4 linked regions of the Caenorhabditis elegans genome follow. The protein of the gene in region 2 interacts with the protein of the main gene of each other region in a pairwise test. Each region holds a gene or a part of one and is shown on either strand. Other genes may lie near its edges. The genes, in order: F35G12.5, nhr-91, klp-3 and abce-1.

Region 1 (4,474 bases), on a different chromosome or scaffold from region 2:
TGCTTCAACATAAAATAAGTTTTCAAATAAAAATGACAACACCCGCTGTAAAAATGGTTGTCGCGTATGTGACAGCTCCGAGTAAGGAAGTTGCAATGACTGTGGCAAGGTATTTTTTTGTTTTCTGTCTACCAAAACATAATTTCATTTCAGAACAACTGTCACTGAAGCATTAGCCGCTTGCGCCAATGTTATTCCGGAAGTCACATCTGTGTAAGTATTTTATCTTTTTTAAATCTGTGCGAGAATCCAGATATTCAGATACAAATGGCAAGGAAAAATTGAAGAAGATCAAGAGCATGTCGTGATCTTGAAAACTGTAGAAAGCAAAGTCGAAGAGCTATCAGCTGTATGTTTTTATTTCGGATCACTAAGATTTTCATTCAATTTCAGCGTGTTCGATCTCTTCATCCGGCTGAAACTCCGTGCTTCTTCACACTGGCCATTGACAAAATAACTCCCGATTTTGGAGGATGGATTGTGGATTCTACGAATTCTTCAACTGCGAAACATTGAAACTTAAAACTTTATTCATATTTATTTCTACCAACTAAACATTAAATCAACGGGAACTGATAAATACATACAAACAGATTTGGCTAAGGAAAAAAACATCGTAATAAGAAAAAATGCTCCGAAAATTTGAAGATTCCAAAATAACGATTTGAGCATGCTTTTTTGGGGATTGTCTTGAAAGCTTCAAATTTTTTTTTCGAGCGATTCTGATGTGATTTAATGAATTTTTTTCAAAGAGATCGAGTTGAACGGGAAAGACAGGGCTATCATTAACTAGCTAGCGAGCATCACTTCGAACTCCAACAGCTTTGTCTACAATGTTAAGCGAGAAGACCATCGGGACAGCAATCTTGTATGCATGGCGTTTGTATGTATGATAATCATATTCCGTCCAAAATAACTGAAAAACATTGAAATGTTTTCTCATATATGTTCAATCATTCTTACTTTTTGCTCCTGAATAATTATCTCAAAGATCCTATCCATGCTTTTCTTTTCGTTATTGTATTGTGTCTCCCATCCCGGAAAGTCTTCACACATGAACTGAAAATTCGAAGTTGAAAAGAAATCCACTAAAAAAACTCTCACTTTGTGGATGCTGTATGTAGATTCTGAAGCGGACTTTGAACTAACATATTGATAGATCATAGAAAACTCACAGTCTCCAATTTCATGGAAACCGAGAAATTTAATTACTTGGTTGACCTTCACCTTAAAAATATTGATTTACTTTCTTGACCAATCAAAATATAATAGCTTACTCTGTTCATATTCTCAGAATCCGAGGGCATTATCAAGTTGAACTTCACGTAAAGGCTCTCTTCATTCAACAGCGACAAGAGTGTAAATGAATGATGGTTCTGTATCCAGGACCTTGGGATCACTTTCTAAACGTACTAAATTTCTCCCTTGTTTAACAATAAGATTAAATTATTACCTGAACCTCTTCCTCAAAATCAGTGTAATTAAACCCATCTGGATTTTTCTGATCAAGTTTCTGCAGCACGTACATGGTTTGCGGAAAAAATCTCAAATTTTTTGCCCACCAAATTTCAGCGAGTCGTCTTGCTTCCCTACAGAAAACCGAATAATAAAATGCATAAGGTGCTTGATAAAATACTTTTTCAAACTAGCATCTGTTGAAGGTTTCGTTGACACTGCTGTAAGGAAAGAAGAATATTGCATTTGGAACTCGCTCCCTCCTATGAGATTCATGCGAGCAATTCTTTCAGTTATATCCAATTCCTGAAGGTAACCCGTTTGGTTTTAATTTTCCAAAACTTCGGCATTCTACCTGAGCCTCGTGATTGTTTTCGCGTGCCGATTCTTCCTCCAATGGTGATGGCGTGCTCAGGTTTGTCGAAGAATGCGCAAAGTCCTGATCAATCGGCGCAAACTTGAACAGGACATTGTGATTTTCATCTGAAAAGAAAGAAATAATAAACAATTCTCAAAAAGAAAAGAATCACCATTATCAAGAATGCATTTTTTATCCAAAAGATTGATTCCTTGGATGTACCTTTCGATTGCCATTTTGGATTTTCCTGGTTCAGTAATTCGATGCAACTCATCCTTAAAAAAGGAAAGTTATACTTTCAAAATTCATTTTGATAGAACTTCAATTCCCCGTTGGATTTTAGAAGGTGCAGAAAATGTGACTCCAGAGGAATTTCAATTTTAAGAAAAGCTTGCAAAATAGCCGCAATTTCTTAGGATCAAACGGAGAGGTCTCAGAACTTATACAAATTATAAACTACCTCGAATTCCTTTTTCATCACCGTTTTAAACATCGTCTTGAATTCCTCCAGGCTCATCTCCATTCTCCCAGTTTTTACGAAGTACATGACAATCGCCTGACATTGGACGCGCAGCTAGAAATAATTCATGTTTTATTTGTCTTTCGCATTGGGAAATATACTGCATAGTAAGGTAATTGTATCAGTTTCGCAACAAAAATAAGTAAATTTACGTAAATCGTAATGTTGAGAAGGCGATCTAACAGAAACAGAAAATTAAGTAAAGTTAGATTGATATGAAAGCTAGCTTTGATGAATAGAATATAATAATTTGTTTAAACAATTACGGTAATCTCGGCATCCAATCGTTTCTGCTCTGTCACTCGTGCAGTTGATTCTTGTTGACGATGCATTGCAGTCTGTGTTGAGTACTGAAAACTTTATATATTCAGCATGCATTTATCTTTTGAACGATAAAATAAACGCATAGAAGTTGGAACAATGAGGAAAGCCTATGTAGAAAAATAAATATAAATTTTCCGAATTTTCAATCATCAAACTTGCAGCTAATTGTGCGGTGCGTCGATAGTGTGAAGAAAATGGGAATTAGTGGGCGTGACTAGCCAATCAGCGGATTGTTGGGTTGGCCACGCCTTCTTTTTTTAAATTGATCAATAGCGGTAACGAGAAAATTATTGTTTTTCTATGCACTTTGGACGCACCATTATAGTCCAAATAACATGAAAGTCCAATTAATGTAACGTTAGTCTATCTAGATAGACTATCTTTCAAACATAAATAAGTCCACTCAATAAGCGATCTCAAGAGATATACATTTTTGACTTACATTTTAACGTTTTATATCGCGGCGAGACCAAAAATTGAATGAGTTTTAAATCAATTCGAAATGAAATTTTTATTTTCTTGGCGGCGAAAATGCGAGAAACACGATAGTGTGTTTTACTTAAATAGCAAATTCGTTTAACCTTCACGTTGTTAGCATTTCATTTTTTGACGCTGAAGCTTTGAAACAATCATTTCAGTTTTCAAAACTCGTTAAAGATTGAAGTAAATGGGATTTCAAACACAAGAGTATATGTAAAGACTTATATTAAAAACATTACATCAATAAATTTCATTAAAACTTCAAACCGGAACATGAATTAACGGCGAACAAGTCATTTTTGAGGCAATAAAATACTGTATTGGAATAATTGAGATGAAAAAGAAACAAAAAATTGAATAGTCAAAGAGATTCAGGATATACAGATCAATCTAAAGAGCCATTTCCTCAACACGCGGAGCAGGTGCAACAGCCGGTTGCAGATATTTCTTGAGACGGCCAATCAGTTCTGGATCAGCTTTGAGTACTTCGGCGCTCTTTGTATTCTCCGACAATTCAATGATTCGATGAATAATTTGACGTTTGCGAATTTCGTATTCTGGATTATCTTCTGATTTATCGTCCAATGCCCAGTCAATGAATCTGAGAAAAAACAATTTTAATAAAAAATCTCGCATAAAAATGTCGTTAACATACCCCTGGAAAGTGATGAACTGATGAACAACTGATGGATATGTGAACAACTGTTGCCAGAAATCATAAATACAATTCTTCATCTCAGGGAACGGCTTCTTAACATTTCCAACTGCTACATGTGTCAATGCTTTTCCACCGAGACGCTCGTACCATGTTTCAGCAATTTTTTCAGTCGCTGAAATTATTAATTTTCAAACATTCCACATAACTAAATAAGCTCACTATTCTGGAAAAGGAGAGTGACGGCCTGAAGAGTTCGACACTTCAATTCCATTGTTCCCATCGTACATGCAGCACCAGCAGCTCCCAAAGTATTCTCAAGATCTTTTGAATCTGAAACAATATGATTTTTAATATCTTGCTTTTGAAAAATTTGGAAAATACCTTTGAACATATCCTCCAAAGTTTCTTTTGCCTCGACAGAGAAGCACATACTGGCAAAATGATCGAAAGCTCCAAGACGACTGACCACACTCAATTGATCGAACATTCTGATTTCGAGCATGAGACGCCGTGCAAGATCAGGGAAATATTTAAGAACTTGTGGGTAGGAACGAGCCATATAACACATGAAACGTGTTCCGTCTGTTGATAAAAATATTGTTAAATATTAATTGAATGAACTGGTAACTTACATAAATACATTTCCCCACCATCTGGAGACTCCTTCGACCATTCCATC
Region 2 (8,030 bases):
CTCCTCTCCTACCTATTCGTGCGTTCTCATTCCGTTTCCCTATTCTCTATTATCTTTTTGCTCAACGAGCTAGCTTATACTACTAGGTCGTTCTACAACCTTTCCTCCTAACCACGATAAGATTAGCCACCACGGTTGCTCGTGCTGCACCCTGATTAGTATCCAACACTCTCTGGGCTTTGTAATCACTCATGTGTATAGCAGCGACCCTCTCACCTTTAAATTTGAATTCGTGTGTGCTGCTCATAGAGAGAAAAGACTCATATTCATCCACGTACCCTTTGCTTCATCATCCGCCTATACCCCCCCCCCCCCCCACAGCTTCTCCCTCCCGCTCACCAATCCCTCCTCCTCTTTCCCCATTTTATGTGCACTTTGAAAATAACCTTATGAGATCGTCCAGTGAAAGGAAATGGAGACAAGAAGAGGCGCCGGTGGAAGGCAGGGGCAATAGGAGGAGAGACCTACTGTCACTCTCGTTTGACCGGCAATAGGCCCGATTGAATGTACGCGGTTTTCACGAATTTCAAGGTCTGACCCACAAAATTTCGTTCGCCCTCCATGCATCTTTCACCCAATTTTGCTTTTGCGCCAATATCCGCGCGCTGTCCCCCCCCCCCCCCCTCCCTCCATCCTTCATCCATTCCGGCTTACCATCGTCTCTCTCTCGATTGTTGTGTGAATGTGTGTGTGACCTACCGACCTACAGTTTAACTTTCTCACTTTGTACTTTCTTGAATTATCCTCCTCTCCTCCTCAACCGCCTTGCGTTTCGTTTTTCTTTCTCGCATTTTCATTTTTGTTCGATTAGTATCCTGGTTACTGGATCAGCGATGTAGCAACAATGTGTTACAAGTTTTGAAACTAGCAAACTAGTTGAAAAAGTCTGGTCGATAGCTTATCACTTTTATGATTAACATGTTTCATTTATTTTCTATATCTGTTGCATTTCCGCCATCGTTGAGAATCGCTATTTTTCTAGAAACTAACTCAATAACTGTCAAAATGATGATTACCACGTTTTTTAGGCTCAAACCAAACCGGTATGTACTATTTCGGACAATAGAAAAACTGTATCACTTTGGAATAATTTTTTTTTAAACCTCACTGTATATTCCTTTGTAACAACTATTTGTATACAGCAGATATATAGGTTTGGTTTCAAGATATTAATAATATGATTAGTTTCAATACTATAGGAACATAAGTTTGATAAGCTTTTTCTCTATTTTCAAATTGAGCAAATTCTTGCAAATAACCGTAAAGTATCTTGCAAGTTAAATTGGTAAAATCTGTTTTTCTGTTCATGGAATGTTTAGGAACAATAATTGATTCTTTTTAATTGTAGCAAAACTGATTTGTCAAACAAGTAACTTTTTAATGTTAAAAACTCTATTGTTATTTTTATTCTCATAAACCTACCACTACAGTTTTGTACCTTCTCAACCCACCCGGCAACGGCTCTCAGTACCAGGCGGTGACGTCCAAATGCTGCCATTTGGCTCTCAACGAGCTCCGCCGCCAAATGCGTGACCTTGAAAATTGGTAGACGAACCCCCCCCCCCCCCCTTCCACCGTCCCGTCATTTGAAATGCTCTTTTGCACACTCTGATCTCACTTCGATAAACTCGACCGGCCCTACCATCCGCGCTTTTTGTACACTGCGATTCTGACTCAGAAGTGAGGAAGATTTTGTACCTCTTTCGAACACACAATTTTACTTTTTTTTTGCTTCAAAACAACTATACAATTATTCTGACTTTGTTCGGTCTTGATAATACATTTATTCACACGAGGGAGCTCATTTCCTATCTTCTTTTCCGTTCTGATTACTATACAATCGCTCAAAAACTGGGTAACAAAAATATTATCGCATTTTCACGACATCTACAAGTCTAAACCAATTGTTCTTCTTTGCTCCCCCTCCCATTTACATACCCCATTATACTGTCCCTACCGTATGTTGCCTGCTCCATCTGCATACATTAATGACCTCTGATTAATGAGCCTCTTTCAGTGCGATGGACGTTGCGGACTCGACATCTGAGACGCCACCTGTTTTTGACCATGACAACTTGGCTCTCGCGGCACAGACCAACTTGTTGCAGTTCTACCTGACACATTTGGCATCCACACTGGTGCCGCCAATGAAATTGGATATGAGAGACTCGATGACTCCAAGGTAATTGCATTTTCCTGAAGATGTGGAGAGCTTAGTTTCAAAATTTTAAATTTTCAGCTTCAGTCAAACCGAAAGCCCAAACTCTGAAACCGACGACTCCACTTCTGCAGCAAACAAAGTTCTATTCTCTATTCTTGGAACTCCAACAACAGACAGTACTTCGGTATGCGAACTGAATGAAAATTATTGAAATTATGTAGTAGAACAATTACAGAATGCCGTTTCAAAATCCAGCAGCAAGCTGTGCTCGGTATGTGGTGACAAGTCAACCGGTCTACATTACGGTGCTGCCACCTGTGAAGGGTATGTGCATTTAGATATTAAAAATACGGAGGGGGGGGGGGGAAGTTCATACTTCGAGCAACAACAAAAAACTTTTTTCATGTATTTTGAAATTTACGCAGTTTCTGCTGTTTTCTGACCTCTGTTTTGAATTGTGGTACTTCCAATTAAGACATTGATGTTAATAGGATGCCATATAATACTATTTCAGCACTACATAATTAACCAAATTTTTTGTTTCAAAATATACATCTGGAATTATCTTTCAATCTGTATCTCTGTAATTAATTAATTAGGCAAGTGTTTTTACTGTTTGATGCTTTGAAATAGTGATGCTTTGAAAATTACTCTAATATAAATATCCATGCCGATTTCATAATTTAATTTAGTTTCACTTCACTTTCTTCCCTTTGCTTATATCTTGTTTTCTATCGAAAGTTTTCATATTGTTATTTTTCTTTTCCCGGGTGGTCAGAAATCTGTTCCGCTCGCCCTCTTCCAGGATCAACATAAAAACTGTCTGGAGAGAAGAAGGGGGAGAGCTATTAACGGAATTAGTGATCGGATCGGGAAAGCGAAAGTGGTGGTGGGGGGCACCACACCAGTGAAAGTCCAGTTGTCAGCACCAGTGCGCTACATTTTCATCCGATGCTGGGGAGGGGATGCTGACGCCGTCGCCGCCGTCGTCGTCAACGTAGACACACGTCCGCCTCGGGTGCTGGAGGGGGGGGGGGGCAGTCAGATTTTGCGGCCTTCAGAATCCGCGATGATGGTCAAGGCCTTCAGCATGACACGACGCACCGCCGAACACCCAGTCAGTGAAATGTTGCGAAGGGCGACGGCCGGCCAAATGTGTCACGCACCTCGACCATTCGTTTCTCACTACAGCGCCCTTCTCGCCTCCCGGTTGACCCTCGGTTTGGAAGGAGGTGAAGTCGGTAGTGGAAGTGCACTTTGAATCGGTTTAGACGGTTTTCTCTAGGTCACACGCACCATAAGAACTTGTTTCTTTTTTTTTCAATGTGTTACTATAAAAGTGATACTATCTGAATAAACCCTAAATCATAAACCCTTAAAAAAATATTTTTTTAACTCACAATTTTTCCATTTACAGCATAAACGTTCCCAAAATTATAGGCGCTCATTGTAAATATTTCATCTCAGCTTGCTGTAAATATTTCTATTTGACTGTACTGTTGTAAAGAACTGTGATTTTTAGTTGATGTCCGTCGAAATAATTATCTGAATAAAAAAAAACGCAATTGACCCGCACTTACGATAACAATCAAGCTATTTCACAAAAACGGGAGAGCTGCGAAAGTTCCCCCGAAAGTTCAGAACGGCCTTCCTAAGATAACAATCAGTGTACCACACCGTACTCAAAGTACAGAGGACACTCGGATAACGATCAAAGTAGGTTTCAGTAATCGACAGCTCAGTTAGAGAAAGTTCAAGTAATACATATTAGTCTATATCATTATCAATCGGACATATTGTCTCTCCGGAAAAAAATGTCGGAGGTCGACAAGGTTTTGTTAGGGAATCGCGTCGGACAAGGTCGGTTCAACTGGTGCCATTTGCGTACCTCTTCTCGTCACCTCTACTTTTCGGGGCCGCTCCTCCCCATCTTACTCGCTGCCCCACCTCTCATTTCTGATGACCACGACCCAATTTAAAGTGATTTTTGTCTTTTAAGTTGACCTTTTGCACAGTTTTCGTAGAGTTTTTTAAAATTTTAATTTAGAATATTTTCTATTTTCAAAACTTTTAAGCTGCCTTGCTGTTTCTTAAATTTATTTAGAAATTTAAGTTTTAACACGAAAATAATAAAAAAAACTTATTTTTATTTCTGTATAGGCTCACGTAACTTTTTTTTGTGCTTAAGTTTTAATGCTTATAATTGTGTGGAACGGTTTTACATTTTTAATCGGAATAAAATACCATTTCTAAGCATAAAAAATGCATGGCATAGTTTGTTTTCTAACAGCGGAATGCCTCGAATTTGACTTAAAATTTCAGTCAACCTATAAATCATGCAACCCATAGATAAAAATTTCCTCGGATGCACTTAGTGCCAGAGTGTCTGATTTCGGTTTGATCTACGCAGGTCTACAAAAAATGCGGGAGTTGAGACGCAGAGCAACTGATTTAGCATGGTTAAAAACGTGCTGACGTCACATTTTTTGGGCAAAAATTTCCCGCATTTTTTCTAGATCAAACGGTAATGGGACAACATGGCACCACGTGCGGATAATCTATTGGTTCAGAAAGCCAAAAAGTAGAAACAAAAAAATAGTCCAAAAAATAAAATGCCACATTAGCTAGAAAAATTGCAACACGTTTTTTTTTCAAGACACCAGTAACTTCTCCCCTTTTTTCGTCATACAACTTGAAAAAAGTTATGACAGACGGAAAATGTGGGTAGGTTGCAAGGGCATCTTAAAGAACAAGGTCACTCGAAGACCCCAAAAAGAGACGTCTCTGTTGCTGCCTCTTTTTTTTTTGCGCATTTCACTTTACTATCATTTTAACCCACCACCTTTTCCTCCCCCACATTTTCTTTTCCGCCGTCTTCTGGTTCTTCTAGTCCGCCACTTCTCACGTCGTCTGATTTTGAATTTTTTTTCCCGCCGTCCGTCTCGTTTTCCAAATGTTTCCACTTGTTTTGTTCTGTTGCATTCATTTTTCTCGATTCTGAAATGTCAACAACTGTCATTTGGCCGCTGGTCAATTGATTTGTTCCATATGCTCCACCTGCTCGTAACTTGTTACTTGTAACCTTGAATTTTCAAATTTTGAAACCCAGCTAGTTCAAAATGCTCAACAACTACTGTATTTCAGGTGCAAAGGATTCTTCAAGCGGTCCGTTCAAAACAAAAAAGTATATCACTGCAGTCAAGACAACTGCTGTGAAATTGACAAACAAAATAGAAACAGGTATGTAAATTCGAAAAATTCCATTCAACAAAAAAAAAGTTCACAATAAACCGTAATTGACCTTCCAGGTGTCAATCTTGTCGTTTCCGAAAGTGCATCAGCAAGGGCATGCTAACCGAAGGTTAGTTTTTCGGCACGGAGAATAACCGCAAAATTGTTTGTCTTTTTGTAGCAGTGAGAGAAGATCGCATGCCCGGCGGGAGAAATGGGAACAGTATCTATAGCAACTACAAGCAGAGGAGGAGTATCATTAGGAAAACGAAAGATTATGTGGAGGAGCAGGAGAGAAGGCCGTTTCAGAGCCTTCCAAGTGGGAAAAAGTTAATAAAGGTGAGTGAGCACTTGCAGAGCGATATGTAGTTTTTTGGCAGCCCCCGACACTTTCGGGGTTTCCATACCATGGTGGCTAGTGGCTCGAGACCGGCGGAACCTCGAAAGTGTCGGGGGCTTCCAAACAACTACATATCGCACTGCGTTGCTCAGCCCCAGCTCTAAATGCGGGGCTGGAGCTGAGCCCCTCGCAGCCCTTTAGCAGCCCTAGTGCATTATGAGCCAGTTAAAAATTTGAAACAAATTATTGCCTTATTCGATTTTGCTATTTTACAGGAACTGGTTGAGATGGACTGCCTAGACCGGCTCATCAACCTAAAAGGACTCCGAATTAATCCATCTGCAAACTGCGATATTGCCCCTGCTTGCAAAAGGTTAACCAGAATAGGAGATGAAATTGTGGAGCAACTTGTTGAGTGGACGAAAACCTTGCCGTTTTTCGACGAACTACCCGTAGAAGCACACACCCACCTTTTGACACAACGATGGGCCGAGCTAGTATTACTATCTGCTGGATACTACGCGTGCTCGGTCTTTACTCCGGACTCCCCCGACACAACAGAAATGATAGACGAAACTGACGAGATCTCATTCACAAACCCACAGGTCAACCTTCGGCTACTTCAAAATCGATTATCACTGGTGCTCGGCAAAGAAATTCCATTGGAACACGTGGCGAAGTAGACTATCAAACTTAACTTTATTTATTCTAAATGATAATTTTCCAGAGAAGCCGGTCCGCTTGTCACCCGTTTCACGACCCTCCTCCATTCGTTCTCAAATCTCAAGGTCTCTCCGGAAGCGTACGTCTGTATCAAAGCTATCACTCTTCTTCACCTCTCCGCCGACTCGACACTTGATAGGAGTATCATCGACAAGGTCAACACGCTTCAGGATCACTTTGTCAAAACACTTCAAATTCATCTGCACCAGCCGGGAGAGGACGCGCAGACGACGAGCCTCGCACAGATACTTGACTGGTGAGTTTTTATTAAAAATTGTATCAGAGTTAGAAAAAATGCATGTTTTCAATAAGTTGATGTGCACCTTTGGAAGCCCACCTGACATAATTTTTAATTGCTTATTCATATCCGTAAAATTTGCTAAGTTGGCAAAAGTGAATAGTTTTCCTAATGATACCTGTCCAGTCACTGACTTTGGTTCTCATTCCAAAATAAATTATAGTCGTACATATTCTGATATACGACATTACTTTAAAAGGCTCTAATATTATATAATCATTCCATGATAAAACGTTCGCAATTTTCCAGGCTTCCGGATTTGCGAAACGCTTCGTCAGTGCTGCTTCATTCAAAAATGTTCTACGTCCCATTCCTGCTTTGCAAGAATCCGCGACGTCTAGTGTTCGACGAGTAGTCTTCCCCAATACCCTCAATACAGCTTTATTTCTCGGTTGTGCAATATAATTTAGTTCATTTTTTCCACTTATTATTCGTTTCTTTTTTTTTTGAAATTCCCCTGCCTCTTTCCAATTCTTCCCACGAAACCAAAAAAGTTGACGTTTTTTTTTTCTTCTCTGTCTCTATCAATCAATCTGTTTGATCTATCTATCATAACATAGACGTGTGGTCGGAAACATAATCAAATAGTTTCTATGATTTTGGATCCTACAGTATCATTTTCTACTACTTTTCTTCAAGTTGTGAATTTCTGGAATAATTTGTGTGCAATTCGTGATGTCTTTGTGTTCTCTCCCCATTCTCTGTTCCTATCTCGTTTCTCATTCACCCACTCTCTCAAACAATTTGTAGTGTATTTTTCTACGAAAGAAAAAAATTTATTGGTTTAACATTTTTTTTAAATTTTACAGATTACAGAATCAGAATTGATACATAAACCATATGTTATGTTGTTGAAACTGCTTCATTTCGAAGTCAGTTATTGAACTCGAACGCCGATCTTCCGCTAAAAAATAAAAATTCCGGAATTTTTGATTTGAAAACTCTGAAACTTACGTCAACAGCTGAACGCGAGGAGTTAGCATTGGTGAGTGGTGAGCCAGGCGAGAAGCATGAGCAAGACGGTCTGCTAGAAATGAAGACATCACCATCCATGCCTTCACCGTTTCTTTATGACGACGCCCCGGACCATTCCATTCGGTGGCGGTGGTTAGCAAGCTTTCGCCAAATTTTTCCCAATGTTTTCCACTGAAAATAAAGATCAATGTAAATTAATGTAAATTAATATTAAAAAATTATTTCAAAAAAAAAACCGGAAAAATCATGAAAGAATAAGTACATCTTATCTCACTAATGTGATAATCGTGCAACTCACGTGA
Region 3 (5,625 bases), on a different chromosome or scaffold from region 2:
GTCTTGTCGTGGTCATCACAATTACACGGAAAACTATTTGTTTGTGTTATGTAATGTGTATGTTCTCGCCATAAAACAAGAAATGAAACCTGAAAAACGAGCAGAAACAATTGGCTTACTGCCTATTACGTGTGTGTGTGCCCGTTCCGCGTCCCTCTCATTTCCGCCCAACTCCGCCTACTTTCGTCTCTTTTCGATCACTTTTCCGCATCATTTTGATCACTTTTACAAACACATTCATGCCCGTAGTCCACCACCATCATCGCTTAACTCTTGAAATTTCTGATTGGTCATTGAATTTTGTCTTGGAACTTCCATCATTGAACACCAATCCAATTTAGACTTTTCCTTGTATTTATATGCCTATCGCCTGAATTTCTCTGATCTAGATGCTACCCAAAACAGACTTTTTCCCATTTCGTGTCACTCCTTTTTTGTGGGTCACAACTAATAAATCATGTTGCTCGTCGGTTTCTCGGAGCACACTCCATCCTTTTCCTTCTCATCAATTCAATGTGAATCGACATGCTTCTTCTTTTTTCTTCAGATTTCTTCACTACCGTCGTCACTTTTCGTTTTTTTTTCTTTTTCAACCACTTGAAAATGTGAAAATGTGCACTAGAAGTTTATGAGCTCTTGTAACCGAACACAGGCTCGTTTGTGAAAATGTGAAATGGAATGATGTTGGAAGAAAGAAAAGAACAAATCATGAGCTCCGGGTGATGGAATTCAAACATTTTTCCACAAATCTTATTGGCTTTAGTCAGAATTCTTCGTTCGTTATTCTGTAGAGTGACCCGAGTCAGACAAGCTTAATGAAATCATCAATATTCATTATAAACAAATTGTTTTAATTTATTTAAAGATCATTCTTTATATTATCAGAAAACAAGCTCTGAGTTTTTAATAACCATTTATTCAAACCTCCAAATATTCAATAAATTGGGCTTAATTTCTGTTTCAAAATGTTTTTTAATCAACCAATATATTCTCATCAGTTGTTCTATGAAAATTCTATACATTTACAAGAATTTTGGAGCGATGGAATAAACTAGGTTATAGCAAGTTGATGATACCTTTTCCACTATTTGAAACTCGACCGTTCTGTGAATTTTCTATAAATACAAAATTAACCTCATTCATGAAAGTGCTTGACGGCAAACAAAACAGTACCGAGATCAGATCACAAATAATTTTCTCTTCCTTTTTGTTCAATGTTCTGCCATCAGTCTACATTGTATTCAATTTCATGTTTGATTTGTGCGCCTGTTTCGCTACAAGCTCTTTCTCTGTGCCCTTTCAACTTTTCATCCTCCTCATTCCTTCTTCAATTTTTATTAGTTTACCTTCTCTCACTTTTTTATGACGTGGAATCACTGTATTTGCAGAGATACTTCTTCACCTTTTTCTCCATATTCGACCAGTTCTTTCACTTCTTCTCGGTTTTTTCTTTTCTTCCCTTTTTCCGCTAATAATACCTGACCAACAATTCATTTTCGGCTTGGTCTTGTATAGAAGACCACTTGAGATACTTTTGAATGCCATTCAGTTGCTATATTTTACTTTTTTTTGTTTTTTTCCTGTTGTTTTAGTTGCTAACTAAAAGATTATCCTTTTTGATCTGGCTACGATATAGTAGACAGAAAGAGAAAGTAAAAAATCGAACGTTGTTGACATTTTGTTCACTTTTTATTTCCTTTTTCAATTTTACATACTCTTAAATATGTTGACTATCCTCTATGTTTCTAAATGAACACAAAAATTTTTGTCTCCGTTTTTTGCGTTGTTTTCCTCAACCGCTGCACCCTAGAATTACTGTTTTCCAGAAAAAATAAACGATCGACACACATAAACACAGGAGTCTCTCACTCCATTTTTGACTTTAAAAATGGATTCGCATGTCGGCGAAGTCGATATTTTCCAACAATGCAAGTATATTCATGAGGTTTGTTCTAATTTCAGTTTGTTTTTGGTTTAACTAGTGTCACTAGTTGCACAAAGTTTGAGAGAATATTTTAAGATTTTTTTTTTCTGAAATTGATTGAACCATTTTTCACTGAGTTTATTAAAAAATTGTGTACCAGAATTCTAATTCACATTCCAATTATTGTTCAATTTCAGGTGGAACTCGTAAATATGAAGTTGCAAATGCGAATTCTGGAGACACACATTGAGACAAAAGACCGACTTCTGAGAAATTTAGAAGATATTATAGACGAACAAGAGTCACGAATTGCAAATATGGAAGATTTTATTCAAGGTACGCACTGTCGTGTGTAGTGAATTTTTGTGAAGTTTTGCATGATTAAAACCCCGTATTACTTATCCGTAATCTTAGACACTTACTTGATATATTGTCATGAGTACCGTGTTTTTTAATCCCAATTTTTTGATCGTCGTGTGATTTGGCTATCTTTAGCTCAAAAGTGTTATCTTTTAATACGCATTTTTGTTTTTTCTTAAAGTAATTGTGTTGTGGTGGTCGGATTGGCATGATTTTATAGTGTTTAATCTTTATTATTTTCTACTTGGTTTTTTGGTTGACAGTGCCTTTTTTCAATTTCACATATTCTACCAAAATCATTTCAATCCGGCCGATACTGATAATATTTTTCTAACATCATTACATGTTCACTTTAATTTCGCAAGTCCAAACAAAACTTACAACAGCTTATTTCTAAACAATAATCTAGCAAACGGCTAATTGGAATGATCAGGTTATTAAATGTTGAAATTGAATTGCAGGCCGTGCCACGTCATACACAAATCGGTCAAATATGCTGAAAGGAATTTCAGTTCTTTCACTGGATTTCGGAAATCTTTCGGAAGAAAATCTACGATTGAAAAATGCGCTGAGCCAAATGCAAAAAGTGGCAAGAGTGAATGAGTTATTGGAAACTGATGAAGATTATGAAAGTGATATGACAAGCAATGAGGATCGATTTGCTTTGAGGTAACCATTTTATTGTAATGTGATTGTCTTGTGAAAATAGTTTGAACACTTGAATTTTTTGAAAAGTAGGTCAAAAATGTAGTGTAATTTATTTTCCGTTTGCAAGCCTTTGCATGTTTTCCTGTGTATTCCAGCCGTGATTCTTCATGTTCGGTTCCCAGATCAGTGAGCCCCCAACCAACGGGTGACGTCATAAAGCCATATCCTCAAATGGTTCAATCAATGAGAGAAGAAGGGCATTGGAAGAAACTTCAGAGATGTGCAGAAGAGCTGAAAACTGAAAAAGATGAATTGAAGAGACTAGCATTGGATACAAAAGATGCATTCAATGTATGTATGGCTGAAATGAGAATGATGCTCACTTCAAAGACAACTGATTTCTTCCGAGTTCTCATTGAAAGATACAAAGCAGAAATGGAAAAACGAAAGCAATTACACAATCAATTGGTTGAGTTGAATGGTAAGTTCTAAATTGATTGAAATATTCCAAGAAATCGGAATGATTGATCTTTATAACTACTTTCCAAAAAACTAAAATTTTCAATTTTTAAGGTAACATTCGTGTATTCTACCGTATCCGTCCACAACTTGCATCAGAAACTGACAATCAAAAACCAGTTGTCGTGATAGATGAAATGGATAACGGAGTTGTCCACGTGTCAAACACAACGGGAACTCGGAAAACTAGTGCTGGAGCTGACAAGGTTATTCCAACTGATTTCTCGCAAGATCAGATATTTAATGAAGTTTCTCCGATTATTACATCTTGCATTGATGGTTATAATGTATGCATATTTGCGTATGGACACACCGGAAGTGGAAAAACATACACTATGGATGTAAGTTTAATTAAATTTTCAATAGAACTTTAAATTTCCAATTTTCAGGGTCCCGTCACAATGCCTGGAATCAATCAAAGAGCTATTATGCAATTGTTCGAAACTGCGAAGGAGAGAACGGGCGATATAAAATATGATATTAAAGTTGCCATGATGGAGATATACAATGAAAAAATACGGTAAATTGACTTTTTTTTTAACCTAAAATTGCAAATTCATTTTTCAGTGATCTCTTGAACACTTCCAACACAAATTTGGCAATTCGTCAAACTGAAGAAGGGAGAAGCTCAATTCCAGGACTTGAGGAAGTTTCAGTGAACTCTGCAGAAGAAGTCACGGAAACGCTTGCTAGAGGAAGAAAGAATAAGGTGAATTTGAAACAACTTCATATTCTAAATTTTCAATTTTCAGGCTGTAGCTGCTACTGAAGCCAATATTGAATCCAGTCGTTCTCATGTTATTGTTAGAGTTTTAGTATCGGCCACAAATCTTATAACAAAAGCAACTACAGTTGGTATGTCATTTTTCAAGTGAAAAAATATTTTGAATATATGATTTATTCAGGTCGTCTGAATTTGGTAGATCTTGCTGGATCAGAGAGAGTTTCTCAAACGAATGCAACCGGTCAACTGCTAAAAGAAGCTCAAGCTATCAATAAATCTCTATCTGAACTTGGAAATGTTGTACTTGCTCTTCGCCAGAATCAAAAACATATTCCATTCAGAAATTGTCAATTGACAAGAATTCTTGAAGATAGCTTGAGTGAGTTTCATAATATATTGGGATTTCCCTTTTAAATATTATTTTCAGATGGAGACAGTAAAACTCTGGTCATTGTGCATTTATCACCAGATGCAAAGAGTTTGAATGAATCTATTAGCAGTGTTAATTTTGCTGAAAAAATCGGACAGGTATGCATTTATGCCTTATCACATTTTACAAAAATTAAATGTTTCAGGTATTCACAAAAAGTGGAACGATGAAAAGAGAACCAACACGTAGAAGTATGACTGGAATAAGCAGTGGTCAACGAAGAGAAATCCCAGCATCTCCAAGAAAATGAACCTCATAAAATATCAAATATTTCATCTCTACTTCTCCAATAATCATCTTGTCAAATCCCTGAAATACCCGCTTACTCTTTCCATTCTAGTCCATGAAAAATTTCAAAAATTCAAAATGGGTTCCAACAATTTTTTTTTTCTAAAACTGCTGACTGACCAAAAAACTTGAAATACGGTTTACTTTTTCAAATCTAAATATATCCCCCATTTTTATTATTTGCAAATTTGTTTATGTGTGAGCTTTGAAACAATAAAAATATTCATTTAATATTTTTTAGTTCAATCCAATATTTTGATAGGTGGAATTGCAACAAAAATGAAGCAACAAATTATAAAAACAATTGTGAAGATTATAAGGCAGAATCGGTCAACTGCTTGAGCTGCAAACTTCCATTCGTCCTAAAATTTGAAATAAACATTGTTTTTTTATTAGGCCTGCATGTAGGACTATTTTTTATTTGCTGGTAAGTGTGACTATAAGAGACTGGAATGGTAATAGAGGAAATAAAGTATTGAACTATAAGGTTGATCTAACTCTAAAAAGAAATGTTAATAATGTTGTCAATTGTATAAAATAACTTAAACCCTATTTTGGGGCATATATGACAATATAATACATGCATTACATTTGACCGAGTACGGTTGGCTCTCTCTATCTATCTCGTTGTCCAGACCAGACTCATTTTTTCCGCGAAGTACTCTATGCCTCTTCCCTCTCTAAAAGAGACTCAGACAGTCCAAACAGAAGGACATTCTCTTCCACGGCCAC
Region 4 (7,700 bases), on a different chromosome or scaffold from region 2:
AAATACACAGAAAAATGATCAAAAATCTTTAAAACGGTTTTTAGGATTTCGTACTACAAGTTTTACAGTTTTTGGCAGAAATTCTTGTTTTAGGAGCTTATTTGCGCGGTTTTAACATTAAAAATGATCTATATTTACCATTTTTTAAGTGAAAATCGATACATTTTTGCATTTTAAACTCAAAAATTGCGTTTTTCTTGCAAAAAAAAAATGAAAAATTCAATTTTTCCCCCGAAAATCCAAATCTTACTGGGCATATTCTTCATGCATTGGCTCAAAAATCCTCTGAAACATCTCAATTGGAATACTGGCGAATAACCGATCGGAGCGCTCTCGATTTAGAAGATTATGCTGGAATTTTTCGATTTTTCGCATTTTTTCACCGCTCCGGGCACTCAAAAACCTGTAATTCGGTCGGAACTTTCACGAGAATCTTCATTTTCTCCTCGAAAGACGCTGTTGGATCCTCAAATAATTTAATGTGCTCTTCGATTTGAATTTCAATCTTTTTTTCGGCTTCTTCCTCTTTTTTTGTCATGGTTTCACTGCTTTCGTTGCTGGAAGGTTGAAAATTTAATGAATTATCGATAAATTTTGCGAATTTTAAATTAAAAAAATAAAAAATTACCTCATTTTGAGATCAATAAATCAGAAAAATAGTAGAAAATTGGAAAAATTAATGTTCAGCCGAGCACTTCTTCGTCATGGCGACATGGAGAGACTATGCGAAATCGAGAGACGCAGAGAAGCCGCGAAGCAAGCGCGCTCCACTGTACTCTTTTTTTTTCAGTATTTTTACACGCCACATGTAGCTTTTCAGCCTATTTTTCTGGTTTTCTAGGGTTTTTAGGCAATTTTTTATTTGTTTTTTGTTGAAAACTCAGACTTTAATTATGTAAAATCTAAAGTTTTACCTTAATTTATGATTTTCCGTCGAAAATTGCCTTTTCTCAACTAAAAAAATTACCAAAAATATTGGGAATTTTTAAAATTGCACTTGAAATTGTTGAAATCTCACTTAAAACGAGTTATTTCTGCCTATTTGAGGCTTATATAGCTTGTTTTTTATAATTGCACAACATTGTGGAATATTGCGATAATCGGGGGCACTCAAGAGGCGGTCTCCGCAAATTTTAGCAATTTCTCTACGTTTTTCGATAAATTTTCGGTGAAATTGTTGATTTTCTAGCTTGCCACGTCAATTTCCTGCTAAAAAGACACGTTTTCTATCAAATTTTTTTTTGTTTTTTTTTCCTATTTTCCATGTATTCTAGATGTTTCAAGCATTTTTCATATATTTTCTGTTGAAAAATCGAACATTAACTATGCAAAACCTGCTGTTTTACTTGAATTTATGAATTTTCGCTGAAAAAATTTTTTTTTTGCCTTTTTCAATGGTTAGGACTTGAAAAAACGACCCAAAATATCGGGAATTTCGAGTTATTTCTGCTTGAGCATTTTTTTGAGTTTTTCGGTGAAATTATTGATTTTCTAGCTTGTTTCCGTGCTAAAAACCACGTTTTCCATCCAATTTCATTGATTTTTGAGGTAAAACGAACAAAAAAGGCGGCGAGACCCATGCTATGTCCCTTTAAACCAGCGCGCTCTAATTTAAGAAATTTCCTCTAAAATATGAATTTTCTAACAATTTTTGCCTAAAAAACACGTTTCTTATTCAATTTCATCGCGTTTTTCAGGTAAAACGAACGAAAAATGAGTCGAAAAGGCCCATTAATAAAAAACAACGAGACGGACGTGCCACTGCGTATTGCTATTGTGGAAAAAGATCGCTGCAAGCCGAAAAATTGTGGTCTGGCGTGCAAAAGAGCTTGCCCAGTGAACAGACAAGGTATTTAAATCCTCGGTTTCTTTTTCACAAATAATTGCAACAAATATCCAGGAAAACAGTGTATTGTCGTCGAGGCAACTTCCACGATTTCTCAAATTTCCGAAATCTTGTGCATTGGATGTGGTATCTGCGTGAAGAAGTGCCCATATGACGCAATCAAAATCATCAATCTCCCAGCAAATCTGGCAAATGAGACCACTCATCGTTACTCGCAGAATTCCTTCAAGTTGCATCGCCTGCCAACTCCTCGCTGTGGAGAAGTCCTCGGACTCGTCGGAACAAATGGAATCGGAAAATCGACGGCACTGAAAATTCTGGCCGGAAAACAGAAGCCAAATTTGGGAAATTTCCAAAAAGAGCAAGAGTGGACGACTATTATCAACCATTTTCGAGGTTCAGAACTCCAGAATTACTTTACGCGAATTTTGGAGGATACTTTGAAGTGTGTCATCAAGCCACAATATGTCGATCAGATTCCAAGAGCTGCCAAGGGAACTGTTGAGAAAAATTTGACCCGAAAGCACGATAATGACAATTTGAACTCGGTTATTGATCAAATGGGTAGGTTTTTTCGGCGGAAAATTGGCTGGGATTCGTATTTTTCAGCGAAAATTTTACGTTTAAGTCGTTTTTTTCACTATTTTTCGGTGAAAAACTGAAAAATGAGTGATTTTCCTGAGAAAAATTGAAACGAAAACGCCGAAATTCGCTAAAAACGAAGAAATTTGATTTAAAAAATATCCATGTTTCGCAACAAAAAACATGTAAAATTAATATTTTGTTTTTAAAAAAATCACCAAAAAACCGTGCCGCAAGGTTGCAAAATGACGCTCCGCCTCTTTTTCTGTGCGACGCAGCATTTTTTTTGCAAAATTCGCACGGATCGGCCGTTTAATTTCAACAGTACTATAAAAATCGATTTAAAAACGTCCGCACCATCAAAATTTTGAAGCTACAGTACTCTTTAAAGGCGCACGCCTTTTTGCATTAAACAAAAATTTGTCGTTTGGAGGCCAATTTTTCAGAGAAAAATCAAGACAATTAAAAAAAAAATATTTTCAAAGCTTCTAAAATCAAATCTCTCCAAAAACTAGAAAAAAAATGGAATTTTTTCTTCTCCCCACTGAAAATTAACAGCTTTTTGGTCTGAAAAAATGTTTTTTTAAAAAACCAATGAATCCAATTTTTGCCAAAAATAACTAAAAATTTAAGTTTTTATCAAAAAAAATTTTTTAAAAAACACCCAAAATCCCCATTTTGTCATTTTTTTTTTCGAAAATTAAGAAAAATGGGCGAATTTTTAAGCGATTTTCGAGAAAAACAAAAATTTTACCGTAGTAATTTGAACCATGCAAATTTTTAAAATCAATTTCCGTCTGAATTTTGCAAAGAACGGAGCGTCGCACAGAAAAATAGGCGGAGCGTCAGTTCGCAACCCTGCGGCACGGTTTTTTTTGTAGATTTTTTAAATAAAATAATGTTTTTACTTGTAATGTAGAGGCACCACGTTTTCAAGATCTGTTCAAAAACAAGATCTACGAAAACAAGATCTACGTTTTCAGAATCTGGCACCGTGCTAACTGCGGTTTTCTCGATGAAAAACGAAACAACGATGCTCCGATGTTACGAGTCGTGTGTTGTTAAGCGTATCTTCTAGATGAAAATTTCAAAAAAATATTTTTCTGAACGCTAAACAACACGCGACGCGTAACATCGGAGCATCGTTGTTTCGGTTTTCACCGAGAAAGCCGCAGCTGGCACGGTGCCAGATTCTGAAAACGTAGATCTTGTTTTTGAACAGATCTTGAAAACGTGGTGCCTCAAATTTTTTTTTTCGAAAATTAAGAAAATGGGCGAATTTTTGAGCTATTTTCAAAAAACCGAAAAAAAAAATTTTCAAATTTTTTTTGCCGTAATAATATACCATGTAAAAAAATGTAAAAAATGTAAAAAATGTAAAAAAATAAAAAAACCATGTATTTTTCAGAGCTTCGTGGCCTTCTGGATCGTGAAATCGACCAACTCTCCGGCGGAGAACTCCAACGTTTCGCGATCGCAATGTGCTGTGTTCAAAAAGCCGACGTCTACATGTTCGATGAACCATCCTCTTACCTTGATGTCAAGCAACGTCTGAAGGCTGCCGCGATCATCCGCGAGCGTGTCAGTGATACGAACTATGTTGTAGTTGTTGAACACGACTTGGCAGTTCTCGATTATTTATCTGATTTCATTTGCTGCTTGTACGGAGTTCCTGGAGTTTATGGAGTTGTTACTCTGCCATCTGGTGTTCGTGAAGGTATCAACATGTTCTTGGAAGGATTCATTCGGACTGAAAATATGAGATTCAGAGAGTCAAAGCTCTCTTTCAAGACATCGGAGCAGCAGGAGGATATCAAGAGAACTGGAAATATTAAGTACCCGTCAATGTCAAAAACGCTTGGGAACTTCCATTTGGACGTTGAAGCCGGCGACTTTTCCGACTCGGAAATCATCGTGATGCTCGGAGAAAACGGTACAGGAAAGACGACGATGATCAAGATGATGGCTGGATCGTTGAAGCCTGAAGATGAGAACACTGAGCTCCCGCACGTCAGCATCTCGTACAAGCCGCAGAAGATCTCACCGAAATCTGAGACTACTGTACGCTTCATGCTTCACGATAAGATTCAGAACATGTACGAGCATCCACAATTCAAGACGGATGTGATGAATCCGTTGATGATGGAACAGTTGTTGGATCGAAATGTGAGAGTTTTTGAAGAATCGTGAATGGGGATTTTGCGATTTTGCTTCAAAATGTGCTAATTGATCTTCAGAATTCAGAATTGCCACTAAAAATCGAAAAATACTGAAAATTTCAGCTTTGAAAATCGTTCTCACCACTAAAACTTTTGGAAAGACAGTTTTTGGTCTGAAAAATTTAAAAAAAAACCAAAAAATCCAATATTTTTTCTAACAAATTTTATTAGGAACCGAAAAAATCCAATTTTTGAAAAAAAAAAATTTTTTTTCGTTTTTCCGTAATAAATTCGCAAAAATTGGATTATTTTGGAAACTTTTTGGCAAAATTTGTTTGGGAAAATCTATTATGTGTACACAAAATTCTGAGAATGCGTATTGAGCAACATATTTGACGCGCAAAATATCTCGAAGGGAGAACTACAGTAATCCAGTTTAAATGACTACAGTAGCGCTGGTGTCGATTTAAGGGCTCGATGATTTTCGAAACGCCGTAAATTGACACAAGCACTACAGTAGTCATTTAAACAGGATTACTGTAGTTTTCGCTACGAGATATTTTGCGTTTCAAATATGTTGCTCAATACGCATTCTCAGAATTTTGTGCTCCTGTAATAATTTTTGCCAAATAATTATTAGGAAACAAAAAAAAAAAGTTTTTTGTTAATTATAAAATCAAGTTTTTGCCAAAAAATAATTTTAAAAACCAAAAAATCCGAAAAAAAATATCCATTAGAGCCAGAATACTTTTAAAAACCAAAATGTTTTCTTTTTTTGTCAAAAAGTTTACAAAATAATCCAATTTTTGCAAATTTTTTATAGAAAAACGAAGATTTAATTTTTTTTAAACCTGACCAAACTCAATTACAGGTGAAAGAACTTTCGGGAGGAGAATTACAACGTGTCGCTCTTGCCCTTTGCCTCGGAAAAACCGCCAGTTTGTACCTTATCGATGAGCCATCAGCTTACCTGGATTCGGAGCAACGTCTTCACGCGGCAAAAGTGATCAAAAGATTCATTATGCATGCCAAGAAGACGGCGTTTGTTGTCGAGCACGATTTCATTATGGCTACCTATTTGGCCGACAGAGTCGTCGTTTTCGAAGGTCAACCGTCGGTCAAGTGTACGGCTTGCAAGTGAGTTTATTGTTTATTAGTGAGAAATACAGTGCATTTTTTCCCCATTCTACAACTTTAAAGACGCGCGCATTTATACAAAATGGTCTCGTCATTGGTCTCGCCACGCGCTCAACAAATCAATGGGATGCGCGTGGCGAGACCATTGCTCGAAAATGCGCGCGCCTTTAAAGTCGAAGAAGTTGAAAAAAAAAATGCACTGTATACCGTATTTCTTCTATTAGTATGGCCTCCCTATTAGACTTGCACTCCCTATTAGTATTGCACCTTGAACACCCTCCGAAAATTAGTATTGCACTCCCTTTTAGTGTTGCACTCCCTAATAGTCTTGCGTCTCTACTTTTTTTCGGTGCAAACCCGCGCCTCACTAAATTTAATATTTTAACAACATTTTCTGCGTCGTTTTCAATAATTTTCGTGAAAATTTTTATAAGATTGAAGTTATTGAACTTTTTTGTTGCAATTTCAATCAAATTTTCTGAATTTTTACATAAGATTCGAGTTTTTTCAGAACAAAAATAGTAAGCTCAAAGTCAGAAAAATGTTCTGAAAATTAGTATTGCACTCCCTAATAGTATTGCAAGCGGGAAGACCATCGAAAAATAGTATTGCAGCCATATTAATAAAAGAAATACGGTAATAATTTGTCAAAAAAATTTAAAACATGCCTATGGGGTCACAATGACCATCATGGTTAAAAAATTCAAAAAAAAAATTTCTAGATTTTATATGATTTTTTGAAAATTGGAAAAATCACAGTTTTCACCTAATTATTTTTGAATTTCCTGCTAATTTGATTTGTTCGATGGAGCGCGCTTGCATTGTTTTTATTAATTAATTTCAATTAATTTTATTTATTCTCGTTATTTGACTGATTTTCTTCATTTTCTATGTTTTTTCCTCGGAAAAAGGAAGAAATAAACAAGACAAATGAAAATTTAAAAAAAAACCAAAAAATCTAATTTTTTGCCAAAAAATTTAACAAAAATCAAAAAACACCATTTTTTCGCCTAAAAAATCGCAAAACACCTTAATATAATACCAACAAATTCAATTTTTCGCTAAAAAAAGATTTCTTATAATCCAAAAAAAAAACTTTTTCTGACAAACAATTATTCAAAAAACCAACAAACATAAACGATTTTTTCCCAAAAAAAAAACAAAACATCTAATTTTTGTCAAAACAAAACTACGATTTTTGCCAAACAATAATTTTTAAAAAACCAAAAAAAAATACATTTCTTGTCGAAAAATTTTAAAAAAACCGACAAATCCATTTTTTGCCAAAAATCCAATTTTGGTCAAGAAAAATTAATTTTAAAAACTTATTTTAAAAAAAAACTATCTTTAGAATAAACCAACAAAAATCCAAATTTGGCCAAAAATTTGTATAAAATAAAAAATCTAATTTTTTTAAAACAAAAACTTAAATTCGTTAAAAAGTAATTGAAAATGCGTAAAACTGTGATATATTGAGTTCCGACGGCAACAAGTCTGAAATTAGTATATTTCACAGTTTTACCCATTTTGAAATACTTTTTAACAAACATTTTGCATTTGTCTTAATTATTTCTTTTATTTTCGTATTAAAAAACATAGAAAATGAAGAAAATCAGTGAAATAACGAGAATAAATTAAATTAATTAATAAAAATAATGCAAGTGCGCTCCATCGAACAAATCCAATTGGCGGAAATTCAAAAATAATTGGATGAAAACTGTGATTTTTCCAATTTTTAAAAAATCATATAAAATCTAGAAATTTTTTTTGAATTTTTTAATCATGATATTCGGTAATTGTGGTACCATAGGCGTGTTTTAAAGTAATTTCTCCACTGGCGTATTACGTTTTTTTTCTGTATTTTTTTAAAATTAAACCAAAATAAAAATCATTGATTTTTCAGACCCCAATCCCTGCTGGAAGGAATGAATCGATTCTTGAAAATGTTGGATATCACTTTCCGTCGTGATCAGGAA

The links.
Region 1: the proteins of nhr-91 (region 2) and F35G12.5 interact in a two-hybrid assay, tested with the Caenorhabditis elegans proteins (one large-scale study listed by BioGRID).
Region 3: the proteins of nhr-91 (region 2) and klp-3 interact in a two-hybrid assay, tested with the Caenorhabditis elegans proteins (one large-scale study listed by BioGRID).
Region 4: the proteins of nhr-91 (region 2) and abce-1 interact in a two-hybrid assay, tested with the Caenorhabditis elegans proteins (one large-scale study listed by BioGRID).

What each region holds. Positions count from the first base shown.
Region 1 is NC_003281.10:4,582,794-4,587,267, reverse strand, and holds F35G12.5 (SPK domain-containing protein), read right to left. Parts: upstream 2,686-4,474; 5' UTR 2,666-2,685; coding exon 2,600-2,665; intron 2,388-2,599; coding exon 2,274-2,387; intron 2,089-2,273; coding exon 1,986-2,088; intron 1,939-1,985; coding exon 1,811-1,938; intron 1,762-1,810; coding exon 1,637-1,761; intron 1,590-1,636; coding exon 1,454-1,589; intron 1,404-1,453; coding exon 1,278-1,403; intron 1,228-1,277; coding exon 1,105-1,227; intron 1,060-1,104; coding exon 964-1,059; intron 917-963; coding exon 794-916; 3' UTR 517-793; downstream 1-516. Other genes in the region: F35G12.7 (Divalent-cation tolerance protein CutA), read left to right, coding at 33-109, 154-213, 262-349, 394-516; F35G12.12 (26S proteasome non-ATPase regulatory subunit 5), read right to left, coding at 3,528-3,738, 3,793-3,967, 4,015-4,125, 4,177-4,377, 4,428-4,474.
Region 2 is NC_003284.9:15,307,358-15,315,387, forward strand, and holds nhr-91 (Nuclear hormone receptor family member nhr-91), read left to right. Parts: upstream 1-2,017; 5' UTR 2,018-2,021; coding exon 2,022-2,182; intron 2,183-2,239; coding exon 2,240-2,345; intron 2,346-2,396; coding exon 2,397-2,485; intron 2,486-3,042; exon of another isoform or gene 3,043-3,336; intron 3,337-4,011; exon of another isoform or gene 4,012-4,146; intron 4,147-5,305; coding exon 5,306-5,401; intron 5,402-5,469; coding exon 5,470-5,522; intron 5,523-5,573; coding exon 5,574-5,731; intron 5,732-6,007; coding exon 6,008-6,411; intron 6,412-6,459; coding exon 6,460-6,711; intron 6,712-6,884; exon of another isoform or gene 6,885-6,953; intron 6,954-7,002; coding exon 7,003-7,108; 3' UTR 7,109-7,537; downstream 7,538-8,030. Other genes in the region: glb-28 (Globin domain-containing protein), read right to left, coding at 7,627-7,657, 7,708-7,899, 8,027-8,030. UniProt on the Caenorhabditis elegans protein: Orphan nuclear receptor.
Region 3 is NC_003280.10:7,840,529-7,846,153, forward strand, and holds klp-3 (Kinesin-like protein klp-3), read left to right. Parts: upstream 1-1,824; 5' UTR 1,825-1,888; coding exon 1,889-1,945; intron 1,946-2,121; coding exon 2,122-2,260; intron 2,261-2,745; coding exon 2,746-2,953; intron 2,954-3,087; coding exon 3,088-3,413; intron 3,414-3,505; coding exon 3,506-3,792; intron 3,793-3,840; coding exon 3,841-3,971; intron 3,972-4,018; coding exon 4,019-4,160; intron 4,161-4,203; coding exon 4,204-4,306; intron 4,307-4,356; coding exon 4,357-4,554; intron 4,555-4,602; coding exon 4,603-4,703; intron 4,704-4,750; coding exon 4,751-4,855; 3' UTR 4,856-5,125; downstream 5,126-5,625. Other genes in the region: Acetylcholine receptor subunit alpha-type acr-7, read right to left, coding at 5,136-5,255.
Region 4 is NC_003281.10:13,152,120-13,159,819, forward strand, and holds the start of abce-1 (ABC transporter, class E), read left to right. Parts: upstream 1-1,697; 5' UTR 1,698-1,713; coding exon 1,714-1,849; intron 1,850-1,900; coding exon 1,901-2,410; intron 2,411-3,836; coding exon 3,837-4,594; intron 4,595-5,458; coding exon 5,459-5,724; intron 5,725-7,627; coding exon 7,628-7,700. Other genes in the region: Y39E4B.10 (NR LBD domain-containing protein), read right to left, coding at 251-351, 404-557, 629-633.